2 linked regions of the Drosophila melanogaster genome follow. The protein of the gene in region 2 interacts with the protein of the main gene of each other region in a pairwise test. Each region holds a gene or a part of one and is shown on either strand. Other genes may lie near its edges. The genes, in order: CG13373 and fest.

Region 1 (14,959 bases), on a different chromosome or scaffold from region 2:
CTTGGCGCCCACATCATTTTCATCGATATCATCCAGATCATCGCGAAGACCCTCCTTCTTGGAAGCGGGAGTGCTGGCAACAGGTGTAGAAATCTCCTCAACAATCGCACGTGACTCCTCTTGGAAGTTCTCCTTACGATCCTTGACCACCTTGCTGGTCATACCCAAGATGATGTTCATCATGCGATCGCCCTTCTCGCGAAGCTTAGTAAACTTGTAGATGGAATCCAGGCGGTACAGTAATTTAACCTGCCTCTTATGTATGATATCACACATGTCGACGACGGCTTGGGCGTATTCGAAACTCTTGTTACCCTCCGGAAGCTTCTTCACACCCATGGCGGTAGACAACAGGATGTCAACCGTGGTCTGCGACATATAGTCATGAACATCAAAGGATTTGCCCGCTTCTAAGCCCATCCTGGCAACTACCGCCTTTGAGTGATCCACAAATGTAGGCACGAAGCTCTTCAAGATGCTCTGGTGGAAGGTGGGGGCAATCATCTTACGATGATGACGCCAATGATGTCCATTGCTGATCAGTAGACCATCACCGAACCAGGGCTTGAAGTAGCGATACTCCTCCGCCTTGGTCAAGTGCTGGTGCCCACTCAGGATCAACTCGATGTCACTGGGATTGGTTAGAAACACCAACAGGACGTTGCCCAACCAGGCCTTCATGGTTTCTCCGTACTTGTTGAGGTAACCCAAGCCAACGGCCAGGATCTCGGCATTGCTCAAGCCGGCGGCCACATGAGCCTGTCCCAAAATAGGCAACTCCGGTGGGGATGGTATATTGGCAACCATGCGGTATTCCCGGCTATTCCTGCGCCAATACTCGTACAATGCCATGGCCACCAGGGTGCCCACTAAGGTGGTTAACATAGGACTGAATCCCAGGACCGTCGTCGACGAACTGGACGCCGCTTGTTGCAGCGTCTCCTGAACTACTTCCACTGCCATGGTTGCTGTTGCTTCTTTGCTCCTGATCCCTGGTCCTCTGGTGCAAATCCTTTTTGTCTTCTGAAGATGGCACTGTTGCTATATCAGCCGCCAGTGCTCAACTGTGAATCGCCATTGACCACATGCAACATTTTATATGGTTCCAAGAGTTCTGGGGCCACTGGTTGAAGTCAAGCATATGCCACTTTGATTTCCAGTCCCACTAATTAGCAAAGCAAATCAAAGTCACGTACTCGCTTGCGGTGATACCTTTGGAACCAATGCCTGCACTGCGTCATTGTAGATCCGTATAAGCAGACATGACTGCATTTCGAAGTCCGTGGTTGTCTTTGATTTTACGTTTGGTATAGTATATTAATTAAAATCCTTTCGTGGTTCCATTTTAAAAACATAAACATTGAATCCTAGTATTAGGAAACATTATTTGCACTAAATAATAAAACATTTATAACACTATTTGAGTTCCTCCATTGGACGTCAGTTCGTTTAAACACCTCAACAGCGTAAAATTCTTTTAACGAACTTTTTAGTTCCGTAGTTCTAAAAATAGCTATTTTTTGCGAAATTTGCGACACATTTGAATGAAAAGTGAATGTGTCTACTGTCTCTTTCACCAACCCTACTTCTTGCGGATGTACGTTTGATGCCAGGATCTAGAATATGCAAACCAGCCATTGGCTGTTCGGCTACCTGTATTTTACGGCATTTACCTGCTGGTGAGCGGAAGTGGGTGATTCTTGCCTCGCTTCCTGACATTTTAATGATATTCCTTTGTTTTGCTTTCGCTTTTTATTAAATTTGGTTTCGGCGCTTTTGTCCTCGACACCTGAGCAAAAGTATGCAAAAGGAAATATCGAGTGAGTAAACAAGAGAGTATGTAAGCCACAGACAAAGAAAAGGAAGCTGTCTCTTTTGTGGACCTCGTCCGCAACATCCTCCAGCTCCTCCATCGTTATCCGATTGTTTTTATAAGTGATTCTTATTACCATTTATTTTTATGGCATTTTGATTATTTGAGCGCGTGCGCAAGGCATAGTAATTAAACATATAACATTTAACGTTATACTCATAGGTCTATGTTTATAGGAAATCCTATTAGTAATAGTTTGCAATGATTAAGGTTATGGATGTTGAAATGATAAGCAATTTATTGAAAATAAGTTGCCTATAGCTTACCTGAGATTCTAATTTATTTATAAATTGCCTCTGTTGCTTGATTTAATACAATGAAATAACACGACCGCTATTTACATATGTACATATGTATGTACATCACATGTAAAAGTAACCGTAAGCTACACCGAACATTTGCGTCAGATATTTAACAGCATTTATTGAAACCACAGTTACAAAAACTGTAAGCGACACCGAAAACACACTACGAAAACCTCTAACAATGGTTTTTAACTAATTTCGCCGTTTTATCACTAATCGTAGTCCAACCGAATGTAGGCCTCCAATATCAAACTGCACTCACCAAATTGACCGGAATAACTGAAATCACAGAGTGTAGTCAAAATAAAGTTACATTTCAGGCAACTTTAGAACAAAGTAACGGGATTAAAAGCTCGAACAGTCGATAGTTGATGTAGTGGAAAAGGAAAGGGAACAAAAGAGAGATGAAAGATAACTGTTTCATAATTCGATCTCTTTTATATACATACATGTCTACCTATGTATGCATAGTATGAAAAGAGAGCAAAATTTGCATTTGCTCCTATAAAGCCACGTGCCACCCATCGTTTTATAACTGATTATACTAACTAGACTTTAATAAATGTCATGCTAATCAAATACATATCTAATTGCGAACAACTGGCGAATAAAATGGTAAAAATAGTTTTATTGGACTTTTGATTGCAGGACTTAAGCAATTATACATACATACATACATTCATACATAGTTCAAATCATTACAACGGACTTTAAACGCCTTGAATTTACTTTTGGTTGGTGGTGGTGTTAGGTTTTCCCGAAATAAATTACATACATAATTTCGTACCTGGGTTTTTCGGCCCTTCCAGCTATTTTCTTACTTGATACTTTATACTTGCTTACAACGTAACTGATTTACATGTTGAGATATGCTAATTAATTTATGGATATAAATGTATATGCTACTAAGATATATGTAGGTATGTATATGTAGTATGACTTTTATCGAGTTGCGGTGACAGCACAGAAAGCAGAGTAATCGTATATTCGTTACGTGGTAGACATAAAACTAAAGATAATAATGCACTTAAATCTATGTACGAAGCTTGTTTTAAGTTAACATTTAATGTCTTTTTCAATCGGGACGAATGCTGAGCTTTCTAAACAGAAATACAACATCGCACAAGGAAGAACCAAACGCAATCTGGTGGGATGGTGTTAGAACATAGGGCTTTGGGGACACGGCCCACAAGACAAAGGACCTGAAGTAGATGACAGACAGTATCGGGAAATATGGCATGCAAAATGCGACAGCATATTACATTTAAAAGTTACAAAAATAAAACAATATAGTACTTTATATACATGCAAGAACCTAATCGTATGCGGCCGTGGTTTACGGAACAAGGATGGGGAGCTGTTAAAGTCCCGCGCTTGAGGGAAGGAAGGCCTACGCCGTCTCATTGAGGTGCACGCAGTGGGCGTCCTGCATGAGCTGCGTGAGTTTCTGCGTAAACGTTGGAATGTCCTGAACAATAAAAGGTAGTACCTATTAAACGCAAAGTCAGTCATGGAAGAGTCACCACCACTTGCAATTTTGTGTTTATATTGATTGAAACAATTGAAACAAGTCGACATGGACAGTAAGATTGTAACAGAATGCTTAAATCATAAATGGAAGACAGTTTCTTTTTTTGCCTTGCAAGTGGTGTCGATCCCTTTATATTCAGTATTTGACTCACATTTGTCTGGCAGATCTCCTCCAGCGACGTCTGAGCCACTGGCAAAGAGGCGTGAACGAAGCTCTCGAGCAACTGGCGTCGGTCCACCTGGCCCATAGCATACAACGCCTGGGCAATCATGTCGAAGTGGAGGGAGCCCTCTCCACTCAACAGCAGATTGAGCAAGGCCCGCTGAAATGAAGCCAGCAGTTGCTCCTTGAACAAGGCGCGTTGGTACAACCGACTCCTCTCATTCACATTTTGCATTGAGAAGAGAACGCTGCGCACATTGCTCGGATCAGTCCCACTGACCAGCATCTGGCCATACGCATTCAGGATGGCCATGAAGTGTGCTGGATGCAGGTTGTCGCTGCAGTTGAAGTTGCCGGAGCCACCACCGCTGTGACCATTGGAGAGCTGATTTTTGTAGAAGAACTGCCACTTGCAGGTGAGGACACTAAAATGGAGAAAGGGCGTTAATTCATGACGACACAAGACACAAGTACAATTTATTTTAATTTATGCAGCATCACGCACCTATCAAACAAAGCGTACAACAGGCTAGTGATCTCGCTGTTATCGGTTGCCGCATTTTGCTGCTGCAACAAGGGCAGAATCTGCTGAGTGCTAAAATCTAAAATGGAGGGAAGCAGCCCCAAGGAGGCGCTCCCTGGCTGCTCCACGATCAACTTGAACATCTGCAGTATTTTTTCCATCACAGCCAGTCGGCTCAGAGTCAGTTGCTCCCTGGAGACAGAAAGAGATGGCATCATTAGTAAGCACTCACACTGTAAAGAAAGAGATGGGAGACCCACCTACTGCTGACACTTATGAACAAGGTGATCATTTCCTTAATGAACTGGGCCCCCAAATGGGTGGGCAATGTTCGGAGCATGCTCAGGCTAAACTCGGCCACCGTGATGGCCATGGCGATGCTGCTTTGCCCAAAGTTGTTAAAAATCATTAGGGCCTTTGTTAAAATAGGCTGGAAAACAAAAAACGTTAATAGATTAGGATAGGATGTTTAAATTTACTTAAAAAAATAAGGCACCTTGAAAGTGCTTGCCAGCATATCCTTGGCATTGCCTCCAGTAGCTTTAAAATACTCAATGAGAGCAGTGAAAGTACCCAGCAAACTGAGCGTGGTGGCCGCCACCTTGCTCTCGTTGGCCTGGCCTAAGTCCAGATCCAGAAAGTTCTGTGCCAGCCCCTGGACATATTCACGCAGCATCCAGAGACGCCTCGGATACTCCTGCTGCTGCTCCGGAACGCTTTTCCACGGCAGCACCATGTAGCTGACCAGACTGATGTGTACATTGATGCACACCTGACGCGGCAATTGGGCGCCCAAGCGAGAGCCTGCCTGCAGCAGGCTTTGGATTTGTGGTATATCCAGCAGGCACTTGGGCCGTATCACAGTCGATATGAAAAGCAGCAGCTCGCTTGCCGCCTGCTGCACAATGGGGGAGGCAGCCGTTAAGGATCCATTGCATGCGAAAATGCTGCCCAGGATAGCAAACAGGCGGTGCAGCAGTTCCTCGCCGCTCATGGCTTTCGTTAGCGGAAAGATGCTCCTCATGGCCAGTAGAACTTGAGCGTATCTGAAGGATCAAGAAAGCATAGTATCACATACATCATGCAAAGGGATGCCCCACTTACAGGTTGTCCAAATCAGTCTGGAAAGTAGCTTTGTCCATTTCGCTGCCGCCGCTATACAAACGATTGCTTGCGAGGAGCTGTAGAGTCTGCAGCAAACTGTCGGACAGCATCTGCAGCTGGCACTCCATCTCATCAGCAACCCCGGGTGCTGCTGTTGATGAGTCCATCAATGGGGCCAAACGCACGACCGCCTGGCAGACGGTGGCAAAGTCGCGCAAAATCTCGCCCACATTGGCGCCCTTCAGTTTACGTGCCGCTTCGTAGCTTCGAGCGCTTCCGTGGTCCAATGCGTGCTCCAAGGACAGTAAATACATCTGTGGCCGTGACCAGTGGTTATAGACCTGTGCGAAAACGATGTGTGCACCTCTGGTGTTGGCCAGTAGGGCCAGGGACTCGAAGCATTGGTCTAGAAACTGCTGCCACTCAGTGGCGGAGGTCTGAAATTGGATGAATGTCTAGATAAAATGAAGATCGTTCTAATGCAAGGTCTATTTCTTGGTTTTTGAAATTTGTCACCTAAAAACACTTTAAATCAGAGCTACTTACATCGTCCTCCATGAGCTCGTTGTCCAGCACTTCTAGCTCGGGTTTGTTGGCCTCAAACTGAGTGCGCCTCATAATCTCATCTACTAGCTGGGTAAGCACATTGTTATAACGCGTGATTTTGGCGGGGTGCTGGGCAATGCCTTTGATGATGGGTGTCCAGATCTCAAGCTTTTCGGTGAAGTCCAAGGCGCCGTGTACTGTTTGGGGAATACAAAATTAATAACTTTTGTTATATATCTTTGTCAACGACATTTCGAAATCTCGATCACGAGATGCACATAACCCATTTAATATTGCGAGTGTTTTATGACTACACAGCAAAAAGATCATCTCAAAATAAAAAATAAGTTAGCATCTCAAAAGGCAATATTTTTATCACGCGACTCACATTCAGTGGTGCAGCTGTATAGCAGATTGAGAAAGGTCTCCAGCAGGTCTGGCTCCTGCATCAGCTTGGCGGCATACTTGGTGGTGTAGAGGCGCAGCAGCTCCCGAAACTTGTCGCTGTACATCTCGCTCTGCCGCCGATTGTTATTGTGCTGCTCCAGGAGGCTGGTAACGCCGCCCATCAAGGGTCCTGGGAAGGGCAGTGGCTTCTGGAGGTAGAGGAGCTCATTCAACACAGAGAGAGCCGCCAAGGAGATGGGCTCATGGGCTGGTCGCCACTGGGAAAGGTCAAGTATGCTCATAAGGAAGTACTCCGAGATCAGTTCAGTGCGTATCCAGGAGACCAAGTGCTGCACACATCCTAGCAGGTCCAAAATTGAGGAACTGCGGAGTATATAGAGAGATGTTATAACAAAATGTTGTAATGAACATATGCTCTTTTGAATGTTATGATGACCCACCTTAATTGATTGTCATTTGGCAGCGCTGAGGTTAGACTAAAGTCCATGAGGGTGTTTGGTATGGTTGTTTGGATGTCTTTGCCATTGATGTGGCATACAGCGATTAGCAGATACTTGGTTACCAGGTCCAGAACATCGGGTACACACATGGAGATGCTACAGAAACACACGGCAAAAGGGAGCACAAAATGGGTTAGGAACAGTGCTGTGGCAACTGACCAGTAATTATAGTGCTTTCTCTCAACAAAGCAATATAATATGATAACTGGGTTAACGGTTCAATTAGTTGAGTTTTAAGAGGTCAGCTGACTTTAGTTGTTATGCCATATACATACTCAATCTCAATATAACACTTATTAATAAACCAAAAACAAGAACGGACTGACAAGGTCTGGGATTGTGTTATTCTATGTTGTGCGACGCAATCGTGTATTTAAACAAATAACACCAAAGTTAATAATAAAAATACGCTATGCTCGAAAACATCGACCATCTGATACGCCGTACTCAGTTAAAAATCCAAGTAGTCTTAAACAGACATTAAAAGTATGGGACTACAAAACCTTTTTTAAAAAACATACGATTTTAGCCTCTTCGCTCTATTTACCCACCAGGAGTAGAAGTACTGCTTCCATTCGGTGGTCAGGTCGCCCCTGTTGCTTACCACCTCCTCGGAGGTGATCTTAAGCAGGTTGATGCCAAGTTGAAACCGTGTTTTTGTCAGTTCCATGCAGTGTTGCATGTAATTGGGGTCCTGTTCAGGGAACTCCCTCTTTCCGAGTAGGGCTATCAACTGGGCCAGTGTGTCCCTGTGCCGTTTGGCCACATTTGGAGTGGCTACCAGTTGGGCATACGAGTTCCAAAGGGTCTCCCGCAGCAAAGTCTTGTCCGTGGACGTCAACTGTGTCCATCTCCGCGTGATTGTGTGCTCCAAGGTTGAGGTGCTGAAGAACCAGAGGAACTGATTCTCCGTGGTGTCGGAAGAGGTGGCCACACGGAGGCAAAGTTGCCACGCCTCTGGCTGGGACTTGAAGGCCAAGAGGTTTGTCTCGATCTCTCGTTTCCGGGCATTGGAGGTGCTGGGCTGATAAAACTCCTGCAGCAGTCCCTCCACCGTCGTCAAAGATGCGGCGTGCTGCACAGACAGTGGGTGGGTGGAAACCAATTCCCGGTTAGGTGGAATCACTCTGAATCACTGGCAAAATAGTGCGTTTGGCCCGGAGCCCCCCGCCTCACCATTTTCCGTGTCCTTTACGATCCTTCCGAGTATCTGTGATCTGGATGTTACGGTCACTGTGAGCTCCGCTTGCTCGCGGTTCTAATTCCGATCGCATCAGCAGTCGGCGTCCATTAATTGCATGGTTTTCTTTGTGTCTTTACACAAAAGGTGGCCAAAATCTACTCCGGGAAAGTGAACAAATTCCGCACGGCTGGCAACCCTGGCCGATAGTCAATAAATATCGATAGTTGTTGGTTATGGGTATTTTGAAATAAAAAAATTCTACCTTTCTTATTTTAATTACCTAAAACAAAATTTTTTTTAAATAAAATTGGCTATATAAATGTTTCAGCTAAAACTACGAGCGAGCAGACAAGCATCCAATTCAAATCCATAGTTATACAAATATATATATATATATATATATATATATATTATACAAATGTAATAAATTTTATATTTTCAGTCATTTTAATCTGATAAATTAAAAATGCTGGACTATTCCAAACAGCTCATAACCAGAAACATTTTGAATTTTCCGCCTAACCGCAAATTCGATCGATAGACGATAAAAAAATTGATCGCAGTCGGCGCTTTTGTATGTATTTTTTAATATGGTAGCACTATTCTAATAAGGCAATATTGTTAGCAAAACGGGACACTGATTAACTGTTAGCCTGCAAGTTAGGAAACCTGAAAGTAAAGGATTTTCAATTGATATTTCAAGACGTTCCTATCCGATCTGCCCAACAATCTGCCAGTATCTCATCATGGAAAACCAGGTCCGTAAAAAGGCGGCAAAACGATCGCGATCAGCGGATGGCGACGCCAACAACAATCTCACGCAGCGGAAGGTATTTGTGAACCAGAAAATGTGCGACTCCCGTGATCCTCGGAAGATGAAGGAGGTCCATGGTATGTAAATTGCCTTATTCGCACCAACTTATCTTGTTTCGATCCTGTAATGGAGGGGTGGGAGATTGGAGAGATAGCGCCGCTCAGAGCGCAGTTATCCCGGACTTGTTGCTCACTTCAGTTTGAACAGTTAGACGCGAGAACAAAAAATTGAGCAAAGCAGCGACCTCTAATTTACGATGAATTTACGCATAAATTTTTTTTTTTAATTTTTTTCTTGCTGTTCTTTTGCACGTCCCATCGAAGCTGAGTGTCTAACCCTCCTTTAAGTGTCTAACTCAACTGGAACTCTCCGATTTTCTATTTCTTTCGCAGAGAAGACAATCAAAATGCTTTTCGATGGCGCAGCCGGCAATAGGCAGGGTCAGGGCCAGAATGCCCTGAAGCCATTGGTACAAGGCCAGGAGGAGCCCGCCCTATGCGAGCAGTACTATCTGCTTGGCGATGGTTCCATCGTTCTGCGCAACCTTCGCACCGACTTGTCCAATCCGCGCCTGGAGAGAGTGAAATCGCGCTGCTGCCAGCGCCAAACGCTCATCCACGACATATGCGTCAACTGCGTGATGGATCTCTGCGAGGAGTGTGGCTACTCCTGCGGCGAGTGCTCCAGGTTCATTTGCCGCAGCTGCGTGACTTTATTGTGAGTTAAGTCCTTAAAAGAAGCATCCCCCTTGGGAACACCTTTTATTTGAAAATCAATCGACCATCATCTTATTTCCAGTGGTAATCGAGTTGAAGAAGAGAAGGATCCCCTGTGCGAGCACTGCCAGATGTTCTTCAGCTAAGGCTTTACACAATCCAGCACTTATAAAGTCGCGGTGCTTGTTAAATTTTAAGTTCTGAAGCAGTACAAATTTGGGACGACACAATGTCAAATGTATTACCAACCAGCTCCGTTTCACTTATGTCCTGTAACTGCTTTCTTTCCGGCCGATAGCCTGGATGAGATCCTGGCACAGGAGACTGGGCTGGGCTGCTCGGTCTGACATCAGGTTACTGTGTTCTTTTAACAGCACAATCAGGTTGTCTGTGAGTGCATTATACAGATCCACAAATAGCTGCCAACTGCCGCCGTGGCTGATCAAGTACTTGATGTCTACATCCAACATGCTGCCAAGAAGGCAATCCAGGGACTCTCCTGTGAGAGGGACCGTACGATTCCCGGCCAGATTGCGCTGGGCCTCTAGGAGTCATAGGGCATGACCAGAATATGCCAAGTCTTTGGGTTCCGGTTGAAATGGTCATTAAGGATCTAAAGAGAACATTATTAACTAGGGAAGGAGAATAAGGTACTGGGGAAGACTCACCGCTCCCTTCACGCTGCTCAACGAGCATTTGGCAAAGAGCCAAAAGAGTTAGCACATTCTGGAGCGCCGTGTGCTGCGTTTGCGACGCAGGGCGTGCCATTTGCTCCTCTTGTGAGGAAAGACGGCGCAGGAGCAGTAGGAAATCCTCGTTAGTCTTAAAGACAATGATCAGATATGTCGGAAGCATTCATCTATCCCTAGTTCGTCTAGGCATGGAGTTTTTAAGGTCAGATGCAGCCCCACAAAAGGACGAACAGTTTGCGAATTGTACTCTTCTTACAGCTTTTCAGGCCCCTGAGAGCGTCGAATCTTAGTCCGATCCTTATTATCCTTGCGAAATTCAACGCGCCAAGCATTCGAATAGAAGCTTGGTGCTGGACCGCAGGGCATCCTGGAGTAGCTCAGAGCTGAGACCATGGGCAGACAATCTTGAACAGAAATGGCCGACCCCCGCAGACCACGAAAGATGAAGAGGGTCCTTGGTATGGAAAGCATTGTCCCACTTGCACCAACTCACCTACTCTCCTTCCTGTAATGGAGCGGGTGGGAGATCGGAGAGACAGCGCCGCTCAGAGTGCAGTTATGTCGGGCTTGTTGTTGCTCAATGCAAAGATGAGTTCAGTTTAAACCGTTAAACACGAGAACAAAAAATGGAGCAAAGCAGCGACCACAAATTTACGAGGATAACCCCACGAAGAGATTGGCAATAAACTGCTACAGTGTTCAGAAATTCGCAATTGCAAGTAAGAATCGATTGGAAACTAATCGATTTTGTGATTTACTGATTTTGGCATTTTGAATAGGGTCAAGTCAGCTTGTTTCCCGCGATCGGTCTCACTATTTTACTGTCATTGCAATTTGGAAATTTTAAGGGTTCTGATTGCACTTCTCGCTGACCTCAAACAAATCAAGTAAATATTCTTTTTTTTTTGCTGTTATATGTCACGTTCCATCGAAGCTGATGGAAGAGCGGCGTCCTTGAGGTGTCTAACCCTGAACTGGAAATCTCCGTTTTGCTATTTATTTTGCAGAGAAGACAATCAAAATGCTTTTCGATGGCGCAACCGGCAATGGGCACGGTCAGGGCCAGAATACCCTGAATCCATTGGGGCCAGGCCAGGAGGAGCCCGCCCTATGCGAGCAGTACTATCTGCTGGGCGATGGTTCCATCATTCTGCGCAACCATTCCATCGACTTGTCGAATCCGCCCCTGAAATCGCGCTGCTGCCAGCTCCCAACACTCATCCACGACATATGCGTCAACTGCGTGATGGATCTCTGCGAGGAGTGTGGCTACTCCTGCGGCGAGTGCGCCAAGTTTATTTGCCGCAACTGCGTGACTTTATTGTGAGTTAAGTCCCAGAAGGAAGAAGCATCCCCCTAGGGAAACCCGTTAGTTTAAAAATCAATCGACCATCATCTTATTTCCAGTGGTAATCGAATTGAAGAAGAGGAGGCTCCGCTGTGCGAGCACTGCCAGATGTTCCTCAGCTAGGGCATCAAACAATCAAGCAAATGTCAAATGTATTACGTTTTAAAGAATATAGAGCTATATAGTATTTAACATTAAGCAAAAATCTTTGATCTATTCTTTGGAATGCTAGAAAACTTAAATCATGACCTTGAGTTGGCCAATGGCGTTTCCTTAACGTAAAACACACCTTTTCGAACAGCGTCGTGGGCCTTTCGGTTGCTACCATTTGGCGAATGGTGAAGATAAGCAGGAAGGGTGCGACTTTTCACGGCCAGTGCCTGCGTGGCGCGCACTGTGGCCATTACAGTGGCCAGTTTCAGACCCAAGTCCGCCAAACCATCCACCTCCGTTTCACTTATGTCCTGTGTCAGCTTTCTTTCCGCGCGATAGCTAATGATGGCCTGGATTAGATCCTGCCACAGGACACTGAGCTAGGCTGATCGGGGTGACATCAGGTTACTGTGTTGTGCTGTTACAATCAGGTTGTCTGTGCTGCCAACTGCCGCCGTGGCTGATCAAGTGCTTGATGTCTACATCCAACATGCTGCCAAAAAGGCAATCCAGGGACTCTCCTGTGAGAGGGACCGTACGATTCCCAGCCAGATTGCGCTGGGCCTCTAGGAGTCATAGGGCATGACCAGAATATGCCAAGTCTTTGGGTTCCGGTTGAAATGGTCATTAAGCATCTAAAGAGAACATTATGGAACGAGAATAAGGTACTGGGGAAGACTCACCGCTCCCTTCACGCTGCTCAACGAGCATTTGGCAAAGAGAGCCAAAAGGGTTAGCACATTTTGGAGCGCCATGTGCTGCGTTTGCGACGCAGGGCGTGCCACTTACTCCACTTGTGAGGAGAGACGGCGCAGGAGCAGTAGGAAATCCTCGTTAGTCTTATAGCCAAGGATCAGCTTAATGGCCGGCTCCAGACAATCCAGTGCTGAACTGGCAAATGTGTCGCCCACCTCAATGTCTGTATTCAATTGCCTCCAATAGCTGCTTAGCACGAACTCTATCTCATCCGGATCCAAATGCAAACGTTGACGATGGGTGAGCGCCACATTCAGCAAGCGTGTCGCATTAGCATCGCGATAGTTCAACTAAAAATATAGCAACATTGTTGTTTGGTTTGTTCAATACTTATAAACACGAAAAGCACCCACCGAGTGACAAGAGGACGAACAGTTTTCGAATTGTTCTCTTCTAACAGCTTTTCAGGCTCCTGAGAGCGGCGAACCATCTCTGCCAGCTGCTTGATCACAGAACCTACAAACTCTGCATCCCAGTAGTCTTGGCTCTTAGTCCGATCCTTGTTATCCTTGCGAAGTTCAACGCACTCCTGATAGCATCTGATCAGGCTGCCATAGCATTCGAATAGAAGCTTGTTGCTGGACCGCAGGGCATCCTGGAGCAGCTCAGAGCTGAGAACCATGGGCAGACAATCTTGAACAGAAATGGGCGACCCCCGCGGACCACGAAAGATGAAGAGGGTCCTTGGTATGTAAAGCATTGTCCCACTTGCACCAACTCACCTACTCCTACTTCCTGTAATGGAGCGGGTGGTAGATCGGAGAGGAAGCGCCGCTCAGAGTGCAGTTATGTCGGGCTTGTTGTTGCTCAATGCAAAGATGAGTTCAGTTTAAACCGTTAAACACGAGAACAAAAAATGGAGCAAAGCAGCGACCACAAATTTACGGGGATAACCCCACGAAGAGATTGGCAATAAACTGCTACAGTGTTCAGAAATTCGCAATTGCAAGTAAGAATCGATTGGCAAATTAATCGATTTTGTGATTTACTGATTTTGGCATTTTGAATGGGGTCAAGTCAGCTTGTTTCCCGCGATCGGTCTCACTATTTTACTGTCATTGCAATTTGGAAATTTTAAGGGTTCTGATTGCACTTCTCGCTGACCTCAAACAAATCAAGTAAATATTCTTTTTTTTTTGCTGTTATATGTCACGTTCCATCGAAGCTGATGGAAGAGCGGCGTCCTTGAGGTGTCTAACCCTGAACTGGAAATCTCCGTTTTGCTATTTATTTTGCAGAGAAGACAATCAAAATGCTTTTCGATGGCGAAACCGGCAATGGGCAAGGTCAGGGCCAGAATACCCTGAATCCATTGGGGCCAGGCCAGGAGGAGCCCGCCCTATGCGAGCAGTACTATCTGCTGGGCGATGGTTCCATCATTCTGCGCAACCATTCCATCGACTTGTCGAATCCGCCCCTGAAATCGCGCTGCTGCCAGCTCCCAACACTCATCCACGACATATGCGTCAACTGCGTGATGGATCTCTGCGAGGAGTGTGGCTACTCCTGCGGCGAGTGCGCCAAGTTTATTTGCCGCAACTGCGTGACTTTATTGTGAGTTAAGTCCCAGAAGGAAGAAGCATCCCCCTAGGGAAACCCGTTAGTTTAAAAATCAATCGACCATCATCTTATTTCCAGTGGTAATCGAATTGAAGAAGAGGAGGATCCGCTGTGCGAGCACTGCCAGATGTTCCTCAGCTAGGGCATCAAACAATCAAGCAAATGTCAAATGTATTACGTTTTAAAGAATATAGAGCTATATAGTATTTAACATTAGGCAAAAATCTTTGATCTATTCTTCGTTAGCGCTGTGCGAGTACTGCCAGATGTTCGGCTTCACACAAACAAGCACTCAGCAAGGTCACAGTGCTTGTTAAATTTTAAGTTCTGAAGCAGTACAAATTTTGGACAACTCAATCATTTTTATATTTCTATATTTAAAGAGTTGGTATTTCATATAAATATAAAAAAAAATTTACAGGTGTACTCGTTCCTTGTCTCTACCTACACCTTGCCCCTAAATTTGTGGTACTTCTCGTGATCCTTCACCAATCCTTCGTACATCCTGGCGCCGGCCTCATTGCTGGAGCGTAGGATGAAGTGTCCGGCACGGTGATCGCAAATACCGATCAGTTCATGGCACACGCGCACTATGTGGACCTTGATCTGGGGAAAATCGTATTATTAGTCAAAGTAAGCCCACTATAAAAATATATATACTACGTGGACGCATAGAATAAAAAAATGGCAATTATTACTCCTTAAAGAATATAGAACCATATACTTCTTAACACGAAACAAAAATCGTTGATCTATTCTTCGGAATGCTGCGAAACTTGAATTTT
Region 2 (17,871 bases):
GATTGCAGTGCAGCTTTCCACCCGGCCAATGACTTTTGTGCTTGGCCAGCAAAAGAGCAATGCATTTCAAGGGGACTGACTCCGTGCACAAAAGCAATTGTGATTCGTGGCAGTAGCAGCGCGACTGCATTTGAAACAAATTTTTAGATAGCTTGACAAAGAACTCAGACATTCAAAGATAACCAGGACTTCGCAATCATTTCTAAAGGTGTCTAAAAGCATTCAAAAATGTAATGAATACCTTGAACTTTCGCTTTAAACATTCTATGTTGAATACTTTTGAGCACTAATACAAGTGAGTTAAGTGAAGAATAATGCAACACTTAAAGTAATTAATTTTACATCTTTTTTTTAGTCTATTTTATATCGTGTGAAAGAGTATATCTAGCAGCTATTGTGAATCATTAAAATATATTTCTTGTGTATGTTCTTTGGTCAAGCCATGAAGGGGAATCTTATTAAGGACCACCGAAAGCAACCACAAAGAGACACTGCTTGGTCTTTGAGTACTATGTTCTGGACAGGATAATCGAATCTGTTGTCCAGGTAACCTTTTGGACGATTGAGTGGATGGCCGTGGCGAAAAAGGTTAAGTCAGTCTGGCTTGCGAGCATTTAATGATGTTTGGCAACCACTTTGATGGACAGCTTTATTCAAGCGGTTTAGTTCATTTTTCCGGCTCATATTGTTTTCTTCGGATATACGATGTAATACCGAAATATATGAGAAAATTTCTGCTCAATTCTGTGCAGAATTTATTCACATTTATTCACACAGAGCCGCTTTAATGAAGAGCCTTGAAGAGCGAATCGTATCCCTTTTTGAATATTTTTTTTTCCCCCGTATCGATTGTTTGAGTATGTGGGCATTGGCGATGAGCTGACTATATCTGCTGCTGATGTGTTGGCCTAATCATTCGACTGGAAATCGTACAAACAAAGGCACGCCTTTACGAATGTTTTTGATGTTGAGTGAGTGGGACTTTGACTTGTGGCGGTATGGGCGTCCAGGGGATACATCCAGAAGACCGTTGTTATCGGCTCATCAATTGTGTCCTGGCCGTTATCCCTTGAGCTTTGTGACCCTCTCGTCGAGCAAATAAAGTTACTTCGCCATCGCACAAAAGTTGGCCTACATCTAGTTAATTAAGTAGCTATTACAGAGCCAACAGGCCACATGAAAGCTACATTCCAAACTATATTAAATACCACAGCTCACACACTTTTTTGTTGCCTTATTTCAAAATGTATAAGCTAGCCAAAATGATGTTTTAAGCCCCTATTATTTTAATTCAGCGCATTGTCAATTGAACAGAAAAACGATAAACCAATCAGAAAATAATTTAAGTCATTTTCGGTTAATGGAAATTGATCATCTGAAGTTCTTTAACAAATAATGCAATTATATTCGATTGCACGGTTGATAAGTGATTAATCTTTTTTCGATCGGGAATTTATTTATTTCAATTTTAGCATTTCAATTTTTTCCCTGAAAAAGCACCTGCGATGCGCCTGTAATATCGAGTCGATGAAGCGACTCTTTATATTATTGTTTCTCTGCATTGTAAATTAGTTATATCGCCGCTGGCATAATCTATATATATGTATATATGTTAGCGCACGGAAGCACACATCAATCAAAATCGAACGGATATAATCAATCCTATTGAAGCGGGAAAAATCTGTGAAAATGCGAAATTTTATTACTGGTATATGTGCTCATGATGATTATGATTATTGTTATGGTGATTTACCTGTCTGCGCTGCCAGCGGCCACAGTGCGTATGAGTGATGATGTGTGAACGTTGGAAACCAATTACGTAGTGAATGTACACACACATGCCCAATATCACTGAAGTAGCAATAATAGTACAAAGACATTCCCGCCAGGCACAAACTCAATGGAAATGCAAATGTCTACTCTATTTATATTCACTTACTCATTTTGGGACATTTTTTCGATGACCACTTGGTAGTCAGTCGCCTGTAGCGAGTGCAAAGTTAATTTTCCGCCTAGTCCCCCTGTTTTTAATGAGAATTTCGTTGTCAATTCATGCCAGCGTTTTTGTATTTATATAATTTTTTTTTTGTGATAAAAATTATGTAAATAATGCAGGGGAGAAGAATTTGTGTCAGCTTTGACTTTTGCGTTATTTCCGTTGGCCGCTTCTTTCTTTCGCTTTTAATAACAAAAGTCAGCAGTGTAATAGAAAATTGTTTGCCTCATAATGGAAGAATAAATCTGCTAACAGCGCATTGGGCACGCGTTGCGTATACGTAATATGAGAAAATAATTGCTGGCTGCCACTGGCGACTAAATTGCTTTCGAAGCGAGCCCAAAGGCACACACTCATCACCCATACAGGCGCACAACCAAAACGATGAGATTGCAAAAAAGTTTCTTGTATTACCCAGAAAATGATTTCGTTTACAATGGTTTTTCCCTTGTTCATTGGACCCTGCCCCTCGAAAGTCAAAAAAGCGCTGCCTTTATGGTCCTGTTTATTGGCCCTCCTGTTGACCAAAACATTCGTTTGGTCTTCCATCGCATTTCCGTGCACATCCTGGAGTCTTCAGTCACGAGTGTCCTGAATCTCGAGTCTGTCATAGGAATTGCTCTGCTGATGTTTCTCGTTTTGCACCCGCCATAAATCACTATTATCTGAGGCAACATTTTAATGACTTGGGACATTTGCATACCCGTACACCTGTTTACCCGTGGGGCGGACAGGGGGGCGTGGCCGACCTCTTAACTGTGCCAGCCAAATTGTAGTTCAAGGACTTTGCAATAAGCCGTTGGTCTTAAAGGCTTCAATGATGTCTGCAGAGCAACCGCAAAGTCCCCGGTGCGCAATTCTCGTTTATTGTTTCGGTAAATTTACATTTGTTTTGAATGACTAACGGTTGTCCTTACGAAACGAAATTTATTGTCTGCCAGTCCCAAAAACACATATAAAATTAAGGGTATTAGGCAAAACCTAACTTTATCTATCTAGCATGTTAAATGTTCCAGCATTTTTCCCGGAAAAATCTGTGCCGCTGGATGAAAGGATTGTGTATTCAGAATTTTCGTATGTGGCCGAGCAAGAGGAAACTCATATTCCAATTCACGGCTTTCGATTTTCCACTGAAATCACTCAATTGTGTGAATGCCCAATAGCACAGTACATGTGCCATAATTCGGCTTTTGCTGCTCGTGTGCATTTCCATGTTTGAAGAAAACTTCCAATTTGCAGAATATTATTTATGGCTGATTTGAACGAATTTTAGATCATGGCTATGGAATTAGAGCCAAACATCATTTTAACTCTTTGCTTTCGTTATGAACTAAACCAAGGGCATTCCGACTTCGCTTCGGCTTTTCATCGCTCCTGCTGTTGACCCGCCAAAGCTGTTTTTCACTTTTCCCGGTGACACATGCCCACCCTAGCAGCCTTGGATTCTTGGAATCTCGCATGCACAACAAAAATGGCAAAATAGCAAAATGGCAAAATGGCAAAGCCAGCAACAGGGCCAAAAACATACAAGTGGGCTCCGTCGCCTGTGGACGGAATATGAATATGAAATTCCGTCGGGGGCCCAAAGGACCTGGCTTTTAATTGTGTGTCGGAAATTATGTTTCACTTTTCCCACCTCGGGCGCATCATCAACCAGTCTCGACGGTCTTTTGTTACCCCAAGTAAAAGTGGCCCGAGGCAAGTTTCTACTGCAGTGTAAATTGGGGGCATTCCGGAAAACATGACTCCTGCGAAAAAAGGAGCACGACTTCGTACAGTTGAATAGCTGGGATTTTTTTCTAATATTTTTTTTTTTTAGCAGCAACTCGGATCATACAGTTTTAATTGGTCTCTCTTGCAAACATGCTTCGCTTTAAAGGGTCATACAAATTTGAACTGAAACCACTTTTAATATAAAATATATTTTGTTTTGTATACTTGCAGTATCTTTGGACTTCAGTTTACAAGCCGCGCTATCGCAGCGTTTAAATTCGATTTAAAAAACAATATATCTCGACCACACACTACACAATTCAACTACAAATAAGATTTAGTAATTTCCTCGGAGCGACGACAACTTCGAAACTTGTAAACCTTGCGGCTTGCAATTGCAAACTGTGCAGCAAGGCGCCTAAAGTCCTCAGATTAAAGTGCAATCTAATTGATTGGCCAAGGACCAATCAGGGCGTGGAGCAGAGGTGCAACTAGGAGCTGGCACTGAATTGTAGGCGGCTGGTGGACTGATCTGCGGATGCATTTCGCTTGGACGGGGGCCCGACAAAGACAATACGGAGGGTCTACGGAGTGCTTTGGCCCGTTTACGCAACAGAACGGGCCCCTCTCTTCCACAACAACCCACCCCGCCGGCCTCTCCCCTGCCCCTTGCCAGCACCCACAGCAACGCCCACGGCCACGCCCACGCCCACATCGCGGAGAGAGGCGCCGGTGGCAGGTGCAGCAGCTATTGCCAAGAATCTTCGCCTAACTCCGCGCTCGCTGCCCTAAAGTCAAGTGAAGCGGGCCAAAGAGCCGCTGCATCAACAGGATCTTCGGTAAAAGGATCTGCAGCAGACGGTAGCCACATCAATGGCCTCGCCCATCATGTAAGTACTCAATGGCTCAACCGCAGATATGCCGCAGAGAATCCTTAGCCATATCTGGGGGAGGTAACAAAAGCTAGACTGAAGCCGCCATTGCCGAAGTATTTTGTATGTTACACCTGACACCGCATAATTCCCCAAAAGTGCACCGCAAGCTTGAATTGTTATATATATGATGTGTGATAATATTAATATTTAAATTGGTTTGGTATTAGAAATATGTACATTCAAACTTATTGTCAAATGCAAATACCCATTTTAATGAAGTCTAAAAATGGTCGAGCTTTACATTTATGAAATTCGCTGGAGCATTGGTAAAAGGATATGACAGTAGGCTCCATTATCAACTGGCGTTTCGGTCAGGTGTTAACTGAAATTATTGTGGCAGTCTCGTTATTGGTAATTCGATTTCCACTTACTTCACCCTATGTGGGCCGCAAATTGGTTTACCCAGGGTCGAATGGAACAGGGTCAGCACGTGAGTGGACCCGAATTTAAAGGACATTTCCGAAAACAACGACACCGACATAATTGCGTAACAACATTTTACCATTAGACTTAATTAAACCGTCGTTGAAAATAACTGCCATTGGCTGTTGAATGTGGTTGGGAAAATGGTAAAGTCGCAGACGGAATCTGCTGCAGAATCTCAGACAAAACCCGGCAAGAAAATGGGAGACACTTGAGCTGGATGGCAACGACAACATGCTGAGGAATTTTAATGAGATTTAGGGTTTGCATTTAAAGCGATTTCACGCATTGCAATTCTGGCAAAGGCAGCGGGTTAATTAGAATTGCCTTGTCCTTGCAAATATAGCCACCATATTATACCGCGAACCTTTTTCACCCAAAATCAAATGACGACGATGCTGATGATAGGTAGCATGTGCCAAATTTGCCATGGCCAAAATCAGATCATTTCTGGCCAAAACCAAAAAAAAAAATAGACACGTAAGACCACAGATTGCAATGTGAAAATATTGGAAAATTTACCATGCCTGCATTTCAGCTGGCCGAAACTTTCGTTATTGGAGAACATCGGCCATCATCACCGTTCCATTCTTTTGCCAATTTATAAAGCCCTTATTTCGGACCGGGCCAAGTGGATTAGGCCGAAATATTTGGCCTTCGGCGGGGGCTTTTGTTTGACTTTCCGGCCTGCCAATTCAAATTAGAGTGTTGAGAGGGGATTTACTCAGCGGCTTAATTAAACGCCATTATAATAATGTTGACGCTCGCCTGTTGTTACATTTCAATTGTTATTGCCGCACAGTTAGAAAATATTTACACACGGGTAATCGAATTCGTAAGAATTTTACAATTTTAATCTATATTCCTAACTCTTTAATAGAAAAGAAAAGAAAAAAGGGATTAACTGTACTTAACGTAGGCTTGCTATGAATTTCGCTACTTTCTTAATTAGTTTAATTACTTCTGATGAAGCAGACGTTTTAGAGTGCCCCAATCTACCTTCGAATGAATTCTATTCATGAATAATTTATGAATTGTGTCATGATATTGGCAAGCAGCATTTTTGTCATTGATATACGATATATACTTGAAACATGTCGTTCACAATCACCCTTTCGCCAATGCCATGTTGCGTTTATGGGTTTTTGGGGGCTAACAGCTCCGCCAAGGAGAAAACATCCATTGGGGACCACTCACTTTGAACTCCCGCTCAGCTCAGGTGGCTGGTCTGATTGATTTGATTGCTGTCACCTCAGGCTTACGCATCCGAACATAGAGATTCGGATGAAGTGCTCACCATGACAGATGGAGTTACTCAAATTCGTATGTATTTTGCGTTTATCTTGCCGGTTGAATTTAAGCCTCTTATCCGCAGGGGTAAATATTCATAATTTTTCATTTACCCCCCGTGGGCCATTCGTTTCCCATTAAATTAAACGAAGCTGAATTTTCACGCAGTACGAATGGGTGTATCCTTTACTGTCTGCCGTCTGTTCAGTTTTGGGATTTTCCTGGGTAAATCGGTTAAAATGCAATTATCGTCGGCAGTTGCAGTGTTGCAATGCGATGGCTCTTTCATTTCGACGGAAATCGAATTGATTTGCTGCATGACCACAGAAGAAGACAGGTGAAACGAATCCATGCGACGATTTATGGCCAGGAATTAAGCCTCATTGAATTTGTATTAATGTGAACGTAATACCGGTGGAGCGAGACTCGCATAATTGAAGAGCCCATTAAATGGTAAAATATAAAAATTGATGTCTTGCCTATCCAGCCCATTCCAACTTTTGTCGGAAATTGAATTTGATAAACTTTCTAAAGGCAAAAGGCGGAAGAAGAGAGGAGTTTCTAGGCAGCAATTAGTCCTTTTTGAGAGGATGTCGATGGGTGGTGAGGAGTGGGGTGGGGGTGGCTTGGGCTTGAGTTTGGGGTTTTGGGTGGAAAACTCGGTCAGATGAGATGCTACGTGCCATGCGTCAGCTGGAAAAATGGGAACCAAAAAGTTTGTTTATGCTTAGACTTTTTGGCCGGGTTCTCAAATTCGGGACCATATAGCACCGGAGCTCTGGCTTCGACTGCTGCTGTCATTCAAGTGTTTTAATCAATTCTGATTTAATTTTACGCCCAATTAAGTGTGAAAAGCGTTTGATGTTGAGCACGGGTGCGAGAGGCAAATGGCACCGTATACGCCCCCCGTTCCCATCCAACGGATTTTTCCGACCAAGTCACGCAAGCGTGAGCATTGAATATGCCATATGTGTGTGTGTGGGTCTCGCCCTTTATGGCTCCCTAGCTGCTGAGCCACATAACCTCGGATTCAGGATTCAGCCGGGTTCGGGTTGCTGGGTTCGGTTAGCGACTTTATTTAATACGCAGCACTAGAGTAAACGCATTTTTAGATGTTTGTATCCGCCTGAGCTGGAGACACTCACCATCACCGCCGCTTGAGTATCCTTGCCTTGTGGCTTCCGCACCTGCCCATGCTCACCGCCTCGCTTACGCTCACCCGCCATTTCTCTCTGTGTACCCGCTAACCATGGAACCACTTTCTTCCTATGACAGAGTCAGCCGTGGCATATAGTTCCGCCCCAGCATTATCCACTAATCTCTATCAACAGCCACTGCCAACGGGCCGCTCCTCCGGCTCCAACTCCAGGTTAAGTCTGTTGGAGAGCTTGGTCTGCATGACTGCCGATCCCATATCGTTGTGCTTTTGGATTTGTTTGCAGGTAAACATGAAGACCTCTCATCTTTTATAATATTTGTATATGAAAACCTTTTTTGGCAAACATTCAATTACTTTTAAACGTGCAATTCATTCCTTTAAATATTTACATAGCTCGCAAACTCTTTAAGCCCGAAAAGATTTCAAGTCCTGATGGCCCTTCAGGTGCCACAACTCCTCCAACAGGGTTGTAATGTGAATTGTAGTCGTTAAGCAATTTTCTTGTACTTTTACAATGCCAGAGGAAAGGTATGAGGTCATATATGGTTGCCAGGAGCCGCTGAAAATTGTATCTCGATCCAGATTTAACCCATGAGAATTAACAAAATTATACGAATCTATTACAGTAGCGCAGATAGAATTTACTTTATTCAGGACTTTCATGTATTACTTTTTGACATCGATTTTTGTGCACATAAATTTCGATATACATGAGGATTAAATTTAGAGTTTTGAAGATTGTTGTTGTAAGGCTACACAGGTATAATTGCAAGGCGTTTCACTTTTTTTTTTTTAAGGAATGGTGTTTAAAAGTGTGCACGTGTTTTAACTTTGTTTTCAAAGACGACTGCCTTTTTCAGATAAGCGTTTGTTTCGTAAGCTAATTAATTGTATTCCATTTCAGTCACAATTTCTCACTTTGGCCTGTCGTGTGTGTGTGTGTGTGTGTGTGCTTGTGCATGTGTGCGTGTATCTGTATTCCACGAGTGTGGTAGTGGTACTATTCCGTCTACACTTGGAAATTTAAGCACTAAGTCCACTCATTTTACATTTTACGCAACGTTTGCGCTGTAGAGTGTGTGTGTGTTGTGTGAGGATGAACATGGTTGGATTGTAGTAACTTAACTAATCTTAACTGGTAACTTAGAACTAACTGAATTGTCACTGGTGTTACGTTGGCCAAAGCAGCCGTCGTTTGTTAGCTAATTTTTTATCATGCAGAGGCTAATTTTGATATCAGCGATTTTATCAATTTTTGCTTATTTTTTTTTTTTTGTGGAAATTTTGCAACTTTCGATTTTCAATCTTGCTGAATTTGTTGCATTTCAAGTACGTGTCGAACGTTTAAAAAATCGTTGGAAACTTAATTTTGCTATACTGTGAGGGCCGAAAAGAAGCGAAACGCGAACCAAGTTCATTCTTTTTATAACACCAAACGCTGGCCCTGATCGAAATAGCATTGTCTTGGCCAGCGTTTCAGGCAACAGGTGGATTTTCCAGAGCCTATTCCACCTGAATTGCCTGTACTAAATAACGGTATGCGTATAAAAACAAGGATATCGAGGGCTAGAGAGATTGTAAGTGTGATTATCTAAAACTAATTCCCTAGTGTTTGCGTTGCGCCTACGTCGAGCAATCGAAAAGCAATCCTTCAAGGATCAGGATCGCCAGTTTTCGTTGCTCGCGCATTTTTTCGAGCTGTTTCATCTTAAATGCAGTTATACATTTATAATTTTTTTTGTTTAGAAGACCAGGTTTTCTTAAATGATCTGATCCCTCTCCACGCCGAGGCCCCAGTTTTCCAATGTTGTTTTGTTTGGATTTTTTGATTTTTTTTTTTGGGGGGGTCACTATATCGACGCTTGAGTCGGTTTGCGTGTGTGTGTTTTCTGTGATGTGTGTGTGGTGGTGGTATAATGGGGTGATTTTCGATTGCCCACGCTGGGTGGCTATAGGTGGCATTTGGATGGCCACCCAACGCGATGCACATCCCATGGTGCGAGCGGTACTTAGTAGACAATGAGCAGGTTGTTTTCATTGAATCCAGCCGAGTGACCAGCATTGCGTACAATGAAACAGGATCCGTCGAAGTGCATGCGCTTCTCATTACGACTGCAAAAAAAAAAAGAACAAAAGGAATCTTCAAATATCCGATTAACTGAATTACTGCAAAAGTATGGAATCAATTAAACACTATCAGTGTTATAATCGAATAAATATACGACGAGAACAATGCATTCTTCGAGTGCATCATTATTGCAAATAGGTGTGGATGCAGTGGCCAACTCACCGGACGAACAGGTGCGAGGTCTTGCCCAACGAAGCCGTGCAGTGGATGCCGGTGGTGGTCAGGGTGGCGGATCCATTGCCCGGACTGGTGCGAATCAGGCACTTGCTGTGCTGGCGGCTGACCTTGACCAGGCCGTCGGCCGCCTGGGTGATGCGGAATCCATTGATGTCATACACCTCGGTGCCGTCCTCGGCGCAATTGTAGGTGGAGTTGGCGATTACGTCGTGGGCATCGGACACAAAGGATGGGCCGTGGCGCGAATCGCTGGAGGGTGTTGTTAATTGGAAAGAGGAGCTTGGCGAATTGATTTGGGCAAATTTCGTGCTTAACTCACTCATAGAACACCGCCAAGGTGTAGTCCTTGGTCAGGTCGGTGAAGGTATCGGTGGTGGTGCGAGTGCCAGCTGTGTCCACCAGATAGATGAGGGCACAGGACTCGCTGGTGAAGCTAACGCCCTTGTACCACATTTTGGCATAGCGACTGGAAGAAAATGATTGCAGCTATAGTTGCATAGATTTTATACGAAAATCTAATGAGAAGTACAAGTTTAAATTCCAAAATACTAGTTGTTTGCCACTCTTAAAGTAAAGGTTCGATTCTACTTCTAAGCTTACACAAAGTTGTTGGCCTTCATTCCGTCGTAGGTGACGATCTCCACCTTGGAGCCGCTCTGCAAGATGCGCCCATTGGGATGGATGAGGGCAGAGTTGCTGCAGTTGCGCGATAAGGCGGCGGCAACCATGCTGCGCTGATTCAGCACACGGACAGCCTTGTCCAGGGTCATGTCAATGCTGGAATCGGGAATGATTTGGAATGATGATCAAGGGATAAATCTCCTACCACGTTCACTTACCGAACGCCCTCGCGCAGGCGCAACTGGATGGTGCCATTGGACATGGCAATCGGTCCAGATCCTGGACACGGTGGTGGTGTGTTGTTCTCGAACTCAAAAGTGCGCGAGCTGACGCGATCCATAGCAAAAGGTGGTGGTGGCATTGGCGATGGGAACTGCTGGGTGTGATGTGCCTGTGGCTAGGTAGATATCGCATATTTCTAAAATACGAAACACGGGGCAATAAATCAAAGCACTTACCATGCAGTAGGCTCCATCCACCTCATAGCCATAGCCAGAGTTGAAGCGTCCCGTTAGACTCTTGCCGCTGCGCGTAATATTGCCGGCATCCATGTTCCAGCCCATGGTCTCGTAGCCGGCACCAGATTGCGGCAGGACTCCGAAGCCCGAGTGGGAAGATGCGTGCATGCCCATATTCATGTAGCTGCGGCCGCAGCTGTTTGTCTGGCTGGAGCACTCCTTGGCCAGGACGGAGGTGCTGGTGCCCACGCTGGCGCTGTTGCCCATGCTGCTGCTGCTGTTGCCGCGCTCCAAGCCGCGCTTCACTCCGCCAGTCAGCGAAAGGCTGCTCATACGTGGAGCCAATGGGCTGTTCATCGATGACACAAAGCGCATGGTGGCTTGCTAGGGATTGGTAAGGGAAAAGGTATCACATGGTACATCAAAGATCACTTGCAAAAAATGGGAAGAAAAGATGACTTGCAAAAAATGCTAAGAAAATATGACTTGCAAAAATGACTTGCAAAAATCAAAGAGACGATTTTTTGCATATGCCTTCAAAATGAAGGCAATCCTATGGAGAAGTGACAACTCTACTCACCGGCGATGGGTTGTTGTTGGTGAATACGGAACGCTGGCGCACACCATTTGGAGCCTTGGTGGGCGAGCGCAAGATGTTATTGATCTTGTCGTTCAACTGGGCGCGGGACAAGAAGTCCTCGGCATTGAAGATGCCAACGCGGCCGCTCTTGGGCGTGGCCAAGGGGGCGGGGCCCGGTAGAGCCAGCTCCTCGACATGGGGCTCATCCAGGGCGCCGGAGTGCTGGCACTGCACCTCCTTGGTGCTGCTGGTCTTAGGTGCAACGGTGTCCTGGGCGTCGGTAACCATTTTGTCAAGATTCGATTGTTCAAAATTTATGGGAAAACCGTATGGAATCGAATGGGTGATGGATGATGGTGTTGTTGTTCTTGGTTGAAACGGGGCCTGGACTTTGGTATGTGGATCTAAACGAGAACGGCACACGCGGCGTGCTGGACAGCGAAAATCAAAGTACTCTGCTCGACACGGAACACAACGACTCAATGAGAGGAATTTAATTTTTTACTTTTTATGACTTTTCAAGAGCACTGCTCGCTGCGACAATTTTCGAAAGAATGACTTGCCTCAAGTGCCGATGGAAGGATGTGCCATCAATTCTGACACTCACTGGCCTACCGGGTTTTTCGATAGTTGAAAGTGTCGTAATATCGAGTACACGATACTTTACTTTTCCCTTCGTCCCTTTGAAGCCCTGGCACTTTTAGATTTCCCGTGAAAGTTCAACGTATATCCGATTAGTGCTGCATACTTTTAGACGGCAAAAAGCTGATTGAATTCAAAATAACGCATTTAAGGACGACACTGTAGTGCAACCCATCTCCTCGCTTTTAGTGGCCGGAAAACGAAGTTTCGCCTTCGTAATTGAATCGAGAAATAGACTTGAACACACGCACAGCAGTGCAGCTTCCAGCAATTTATTGCCGCTCATTTGTATAGTTTCTACGCAGCTATAAGCTGCAGCAAAAGACTTAGGCTTTAAGATTTATTGGGAAACTGCATTTTCCGAACGGGAGAAAGTGCAAGAGAAAGTGCCGTCATTCTTATCGATGCTGGTTAAATGCTGAACAAGTGCGCAGAGTTGCAAAGTTTTGAAGCGTTGGCAGGAAATGTCAAGAGTCAGATAAAAGTGATGTTTGCACGTAGCACAGTTTAGTACTTTGCTAATAAAAAGCTATCCCCTTCTAAATTGTTGCTTTAACGTGGCTTAAATATGTTGTCAAAGTCAAACAATCACGCAATTTAAATGTATTATACATTCAACTGAAACTTTTAAATTGACATATTAAATAAGAACTGGCATTTAAAGTTTCTGCGAAATGTAAACTGCTCTTATAGAACTTTCCAGTCGAACAGCTACAAATTTTTGGATTATTTCTTAATGAATAAACACTAAAATCATAATATATTTTAGTAATAGCTGCTCAATCGTTTTTCTTGTCAGTTATTAGCCATTTTATTTGCCTGAATGTTGACATATTAGCCACAATTTTGGCAAACCCCCAAGGTCGTTTTATTTCCATTTTTGTGGGTTCACTAACTCACCTTCAGTGTGCAAAGTCCCTGAACTTCCGGAACTATTGTGTTTTTTGTATACGACTGTCAACTCTTTCCGCTCTCATGATTGATTTTGCCTCTTGATTTCAGTTTTTTCTTGCGCGGATTAGTTTGTTTAATGAGCGCATTGACTCCTTGCATTTGGCCATCGGCCCACGCAGATTTAGATTGACACTTTCGCCATCATATCTATTTAAATGGACGCGTTTATTTAGACACTTGGCTGGCATATTTTTTAAATTTTATTTTTGGCACTTGGTCGGATCATTAAAATTCAGCCACTGCAGCTGCAATTCCGCCCACGCATCGCATTGACTCAGTTTTGAGCAACACCAACTGAAAGTGAAAATGTGTAATATATTTATAGCAGGAATGCAATCGCATATGCATTCAATGAAATACGGAAACTCATTTGTAAAAATCACCCCGTCCACCGAAGTGATTTTTCCGTTGTCACTTTCGCCAGCCGCAAGTGAAACAAATTGGTTAACCTCCTTTTTCAGTATTTATCGTTAAAAATATTCGCAAATATTCAGACAGCTGAAAATTCAGATTTTCAGCGAGCGTCGTTGGAATAGTTTGCTAAATTTTGAATTCAAGTTGTAATTACGCTCGTTTTGTAAAGGCAAAGGCACATTTGATATGAAAACTAAAAGGAGAACATCAGCCAAATGAATAGAGAAAATTCGCTATTACTTGCCGAAGCTCGTTAAAATGTGGAAAACTATTTTCGCCTTCTGCAGTCAGTGAACTTTGGCGCAGACAAAGATCATAAAATCCATACTAGTGTAGCGGCTATATATAGAAAGTGCATAGGACTCCGACTTGGCCAGTGTTGCAATCTTTGACGTCACCGTTCGCGTGAGTGGCAGTGCCAGTGGTAGTGGTGACCACTCAGATTGATGAGAAACTTATGGCATAATTGAAATGGCTTTTAAAATCCATTTGTTCAGCGCCTTCTTCCTTATTAAATCCTTAGCAATTTTCATTAAAAACAATTAGCGCCAACGACGCCACTTGCCTTTGTCGACAATACCAGCCCCTTCAGTTTCTACTGGGGGGCAGGAGGTGCTCGGGAATTGAATGGACTGGGTTGGAATCGGTTGGGATGGGACGGGATGGAAATTAATTGATTGTCAAGATGAGGCAACGGCAACCGAGCTGTGTAAACAAATAAATGTGTCTGGTCATTCAGCGGGAGATCTTTGTTGTCGCCTCTAGATGATAATGCCGCCCCGCTGTCAGCTATGGAATTACACTCACCCACTATATATATATATATATATATATATATATATATATATACAGATATTCCGAATCCGATGCACATACATTTACGGATCTCAACCGACAGGCACGCGACGCTAAAAGCCTCTCGGCTTGACTTCCATCAATATTTTGGCATTCCCGGCATTATTCTGGCCGCGTCGAATTCCTTGGTGACTTTTCTGTTTACACAATCCCCTTAAGTCCCGTGCCCCCACCTCGGCCCCCTGCAAGGTGATTCACAGGGATTTCCTGGAGACGAAGAAGCCACCACCTACGCGTGCCCAAAAAAACAAAAAAATAAAAAATTATATGAAAACAGATTGAAAGGTTGGTCAATTGGTGGTCTGAGCCAAAAGTCTGCCGACTGCCAACGGCCAACTGCCGCCGTTTGACGTCATCGGCTCTTCGGCACTTGCCAAAAAATCCACCCATCTCATACGCTCGTGTCTATGGTCTATGGTCTATGGTCTTATAGTTCATCGAAAAGGTGTGCCAGGCGGTTTTTTCCCCATTTTTTTTTTTTTTGGCTTGGGTTAAACTTTTGCAAGATTTAATGTGTGCTGGCGCTTTGCCCGCGTTGTCGGTCTGAATTTCACGCTTCATTGATGGGCAAATGTGACGTTGTCGCGTCTGCTTTGATTTTGATAAAATAGGCCAAAGTGTTCATCAATAATCATTTCTGTAAAGATCGGTGAGCGAAGCAATTATTTTTACAAAATTTACAAAGAGCCTCGCCAACGAATGCACAAGATAAGTTGGCTCAGGCATGGCAATCCATTCTTTTTTTTTGTTTTGAACATCCTTCACACATCAAAATTTTAATTTTTTTATTTCTACTTTTTAAGAAATATTATGTCAACAAGTTATGGGAAATACATAAGCCATGCACGTGATTTTTGCAACACACTTTAATTAGTTTTTATCAATTTAATTGGATTTTGTCAAGTAGTAGGCAGCAAAGTCGGCTTTTGTCGATAAAATATAGTCATTAAAACTTAAGTGGGATGTTTAAATGAATAACGTTTATAGGAAAAGATAGTTTCCACTTTTAAGGCCATTGGTAAGTTTAAAATTCAATTCATGTCATTTAGTAAAGAGTCATAAAACCGCACCGCCAGCAACCGCAACTTTATTTATTTAATTTTAATTACTTTACTTAAATTTTCATTTATCAAAGAAAACCGCACGAACTTGGCACAGCCCCTAGAATATTCCTCATATTTTATTCATTGGTAACCCACATCGAAAGCCACTGTACAAATTTATACATAAGAATTGTGCAAAGAGCCAGGGAAACGCGGACGTGCCTCTTGGCAGGTGCCACGCCCACTTTCCCGAAACTGTTCTACTTTCTTCTGTTTTCTTTTCTTTTTGGGGTCCACCTTGCTTCAAGAATCCCGAGAAGGTATAAATCAAGTGGCTTTCACTTCTGCCTGTTCCGCCTTCATATATATTATATTTTTTTTCTGTTGTTTTTGGTGCATATTAATTTGGGGAATTTTGTCAAAATGAATTGTATAATTTTATAACACATCCTCAGAGCTTTATTTGATGAGCCGTGTCTATAGAAGCGGATATATGTATATGTATGACTCGCATTCGAGTGGAATAAACTGTCCGTTTAATAGAACAATATACCCCGGATCGGACAAGGTATCCGCACCCAGAGACAATTACAAATGCATTGGCAATTGCAGAGCAGAGAGAGAATGGGTTCCATAGTTTCCGGGGCACGCATTTCGCTCGCTTTGTGCCATTATTTTATTTCCAATTCCCGGAGCGGCAAAAGAATCGCCCAGACACGCCGTCCAGACGGACGGGTTCAACGCACTGGTTGGTACTGATGGAATCATCGGGACACCCAGCCATTGTTGACTGCCAATTGGCCATAACCAGACCGAGCGTCGAATAATCACAATCGGACTGAACTATTTGCAATTCCCCAGCCCCAAAAGCTGAACATCTAGCGCAGACAACCCGCTGACTCAGAAATGTGGAACCATTCCCATTCCCATTCCCATTGGCATTACCATTTCCATCGCGTCGCAGCAAGAACCCATCACTATGGCCATCCTCCCGAGAACTGTCAACATTCCGTGGCGTCCTCATTTCGTGGCGAGTGAATTTACAATTTCTGCAGCGAGCACACCTTTTTGCAGTTTACACGAAGCGAAACAAATAAACGAAGTGAAAGTGATTTTTATTTTCTGCCTATAATTATGTTCTTTGTTTTATTTGAATGGCTTCTGATGCAGTCGGAGCAATAAATATTTATAACAAGTGTTCCTTTCATCTTGATCTTAATTTTTTTATGCAGTCAATTTTTAATTTTAATGGAAGATGTCCTTTCTATTGCGATAATAATATTATTTATTATTAGTTTACTTGACAATATATACAAATGAATTGACCATTTTGTTTCTTAACTTAATTCAGAAATTTCACATTGCGATAGCTAATTTCTCGCAGTGCAGCCTGTGAGGTAAAATTCCCGTAGCTCTCTGTGGGGGCCGGATAACTGCGAATACGAATGGGGAAAAAAATGAACCACAACCGCTGCCCATTTTCGTGTGTCTCCGTTGTTTACGGTCCGTTGCGGTGGCCACCGCCAAGTGCACATCTTCATCCTCCATCGGCCATTTGCGCCACCCACACCTCACTGGGATCGGATCACCTCAGCTCGATGGAGGCGGAATGCTTTCAAGTTATTTCTCAGCGCTGTCTTCTTATTGGGATCAAGTCAATATTTGTCGAGTAAAAATTACTTCCTGCTCCGAAATGGTGGCATCTCTTAAGTAGCCCCATTCCACTTTGATGTTTGCATTCCTGCCGCCCTCTTAATTTACGAAAAATTACAAATAATTGTTTGTATAACTTGATGAGACCAAAAACGTTTTAATTAGGGAACGTTCCACATTTTGCGACCTGCAACTTGCCTTCTTTTAATGAAGAAAGTTGTTTTATCTTTCATGTTTTAAGAAATACAAGCGCAAGTTTAAATAAATACTATATGTTGTGTTTAACTCATGTACCTTTTAAAGGTGCCAACTTCTTCTTGTGTATTTTATTTCTATGGAAAGAAATTTTAAATTTAAAATTTAATTTACTCAATTTTTTGTTATTAAAAACTTTTATTATCTTTGACGGTTTTTAATATTAACGATACATCTATATGTATGGCAAGGTATGGTCACCACTCCATCCAAAATTAAAACATATTAAAATTCAAATTGAATTATTTTAGTGATGGCTTGTTCGTGGGAGAAAAAAAATGTGTAGGAAACCGGCGTGTCATTCAATTTTGCAGAGCACATGTCCACTTCGGGATTGAGTTTCGATTTTTTGCTGTCTGGCCGGAAGGGAGTTAAACCGGAAATGCGAAAGGGGCGGAACCACCCACTTCGCACTTGTCAGTGGGGGCGGGTAAACTTGGCCGTTGTGCTTGTTGTTGTCGCAGCTGTTTGTTTGTTTGTTTGTTGTTTGCTTTTAGCCAGCGCCAAAAGCGTGTCAAACGAAACTGTTAACTGGAAACTGAAAACGGGCGGGCGTTTTACACATGGGTACTTTA

Evidence for each region.
Region 1: the proteins of fest (region 2) and CG13373 interact in a two-hybrid assay, tested with the Drosophila melanogaster proteins (2 studies listed by BioGRID).

Annotation. Positions count from the first base shown.
Region 1 is NC_004354.4:468,266-483,224, forward strand, and holds CG13373 (uncharacterized protein), read left to right. Parts: upstream 1-8,718; 5' UTR 8,719-8,881; coding exon 8,882-9,026; exon of another isoform or gene 9,027-9,341; coding exon 9,342-9,666; exon of another isoform or gene 9,667-9,747; coding exon 9,748-9,811; 3' UTR 9,812-9,926; downstream 9,927-14,959. Other genes in the region: Cyp4g1 (cytochrome P450 4g1), read right to left, coding at 1-963; ebo (ellipsoid body open), read right to left, coding at 3,569-3,667, 3,861-4,296, 4,377-4,586, 4,655-4,824, 4,891-5,440, 5,499-5,935, 6,045-6,241, 6,433-6,815 and 3 more; CG32817 (uncharacterized protein), read left to right, coding at 11,379-11,680, 11,765-11,828; CG3176 (uncharacterized protein), read left to right, coding at 13,867-14,168, 14,253-14,316; CG18273 (uncharacterized protein), read right to left, coding at 14,619-14,780.
Region 2 is NT_033778.4:19,335,981-19,353,851, reverse strand, and holds fest (wurstfest), read right to left. Parts: upstream 12,044-17,871; 5' UTR 11,769-12,043; coding exon 11,481-11,768; intron 11,285-11,480; coding exon 10,901-11,284; intron 10,840-10,900; coding exon 10,661-10,839; intron 10,599-10,660; coding exon 10,422-10,598; intron 10,288-10,421; coding exon 10,141-10,287; intron 10,071-10,140; coding exon 9,807-10,070; intron 9,629-9,806; coding exon 9,526-9,628; 3' UTR 8,098-9,525; downstream 1-8,097. Other genes in the region: Rgk1 (Rad, Gem/Kir family member 1), read left to right, coding at 7,755-7,799.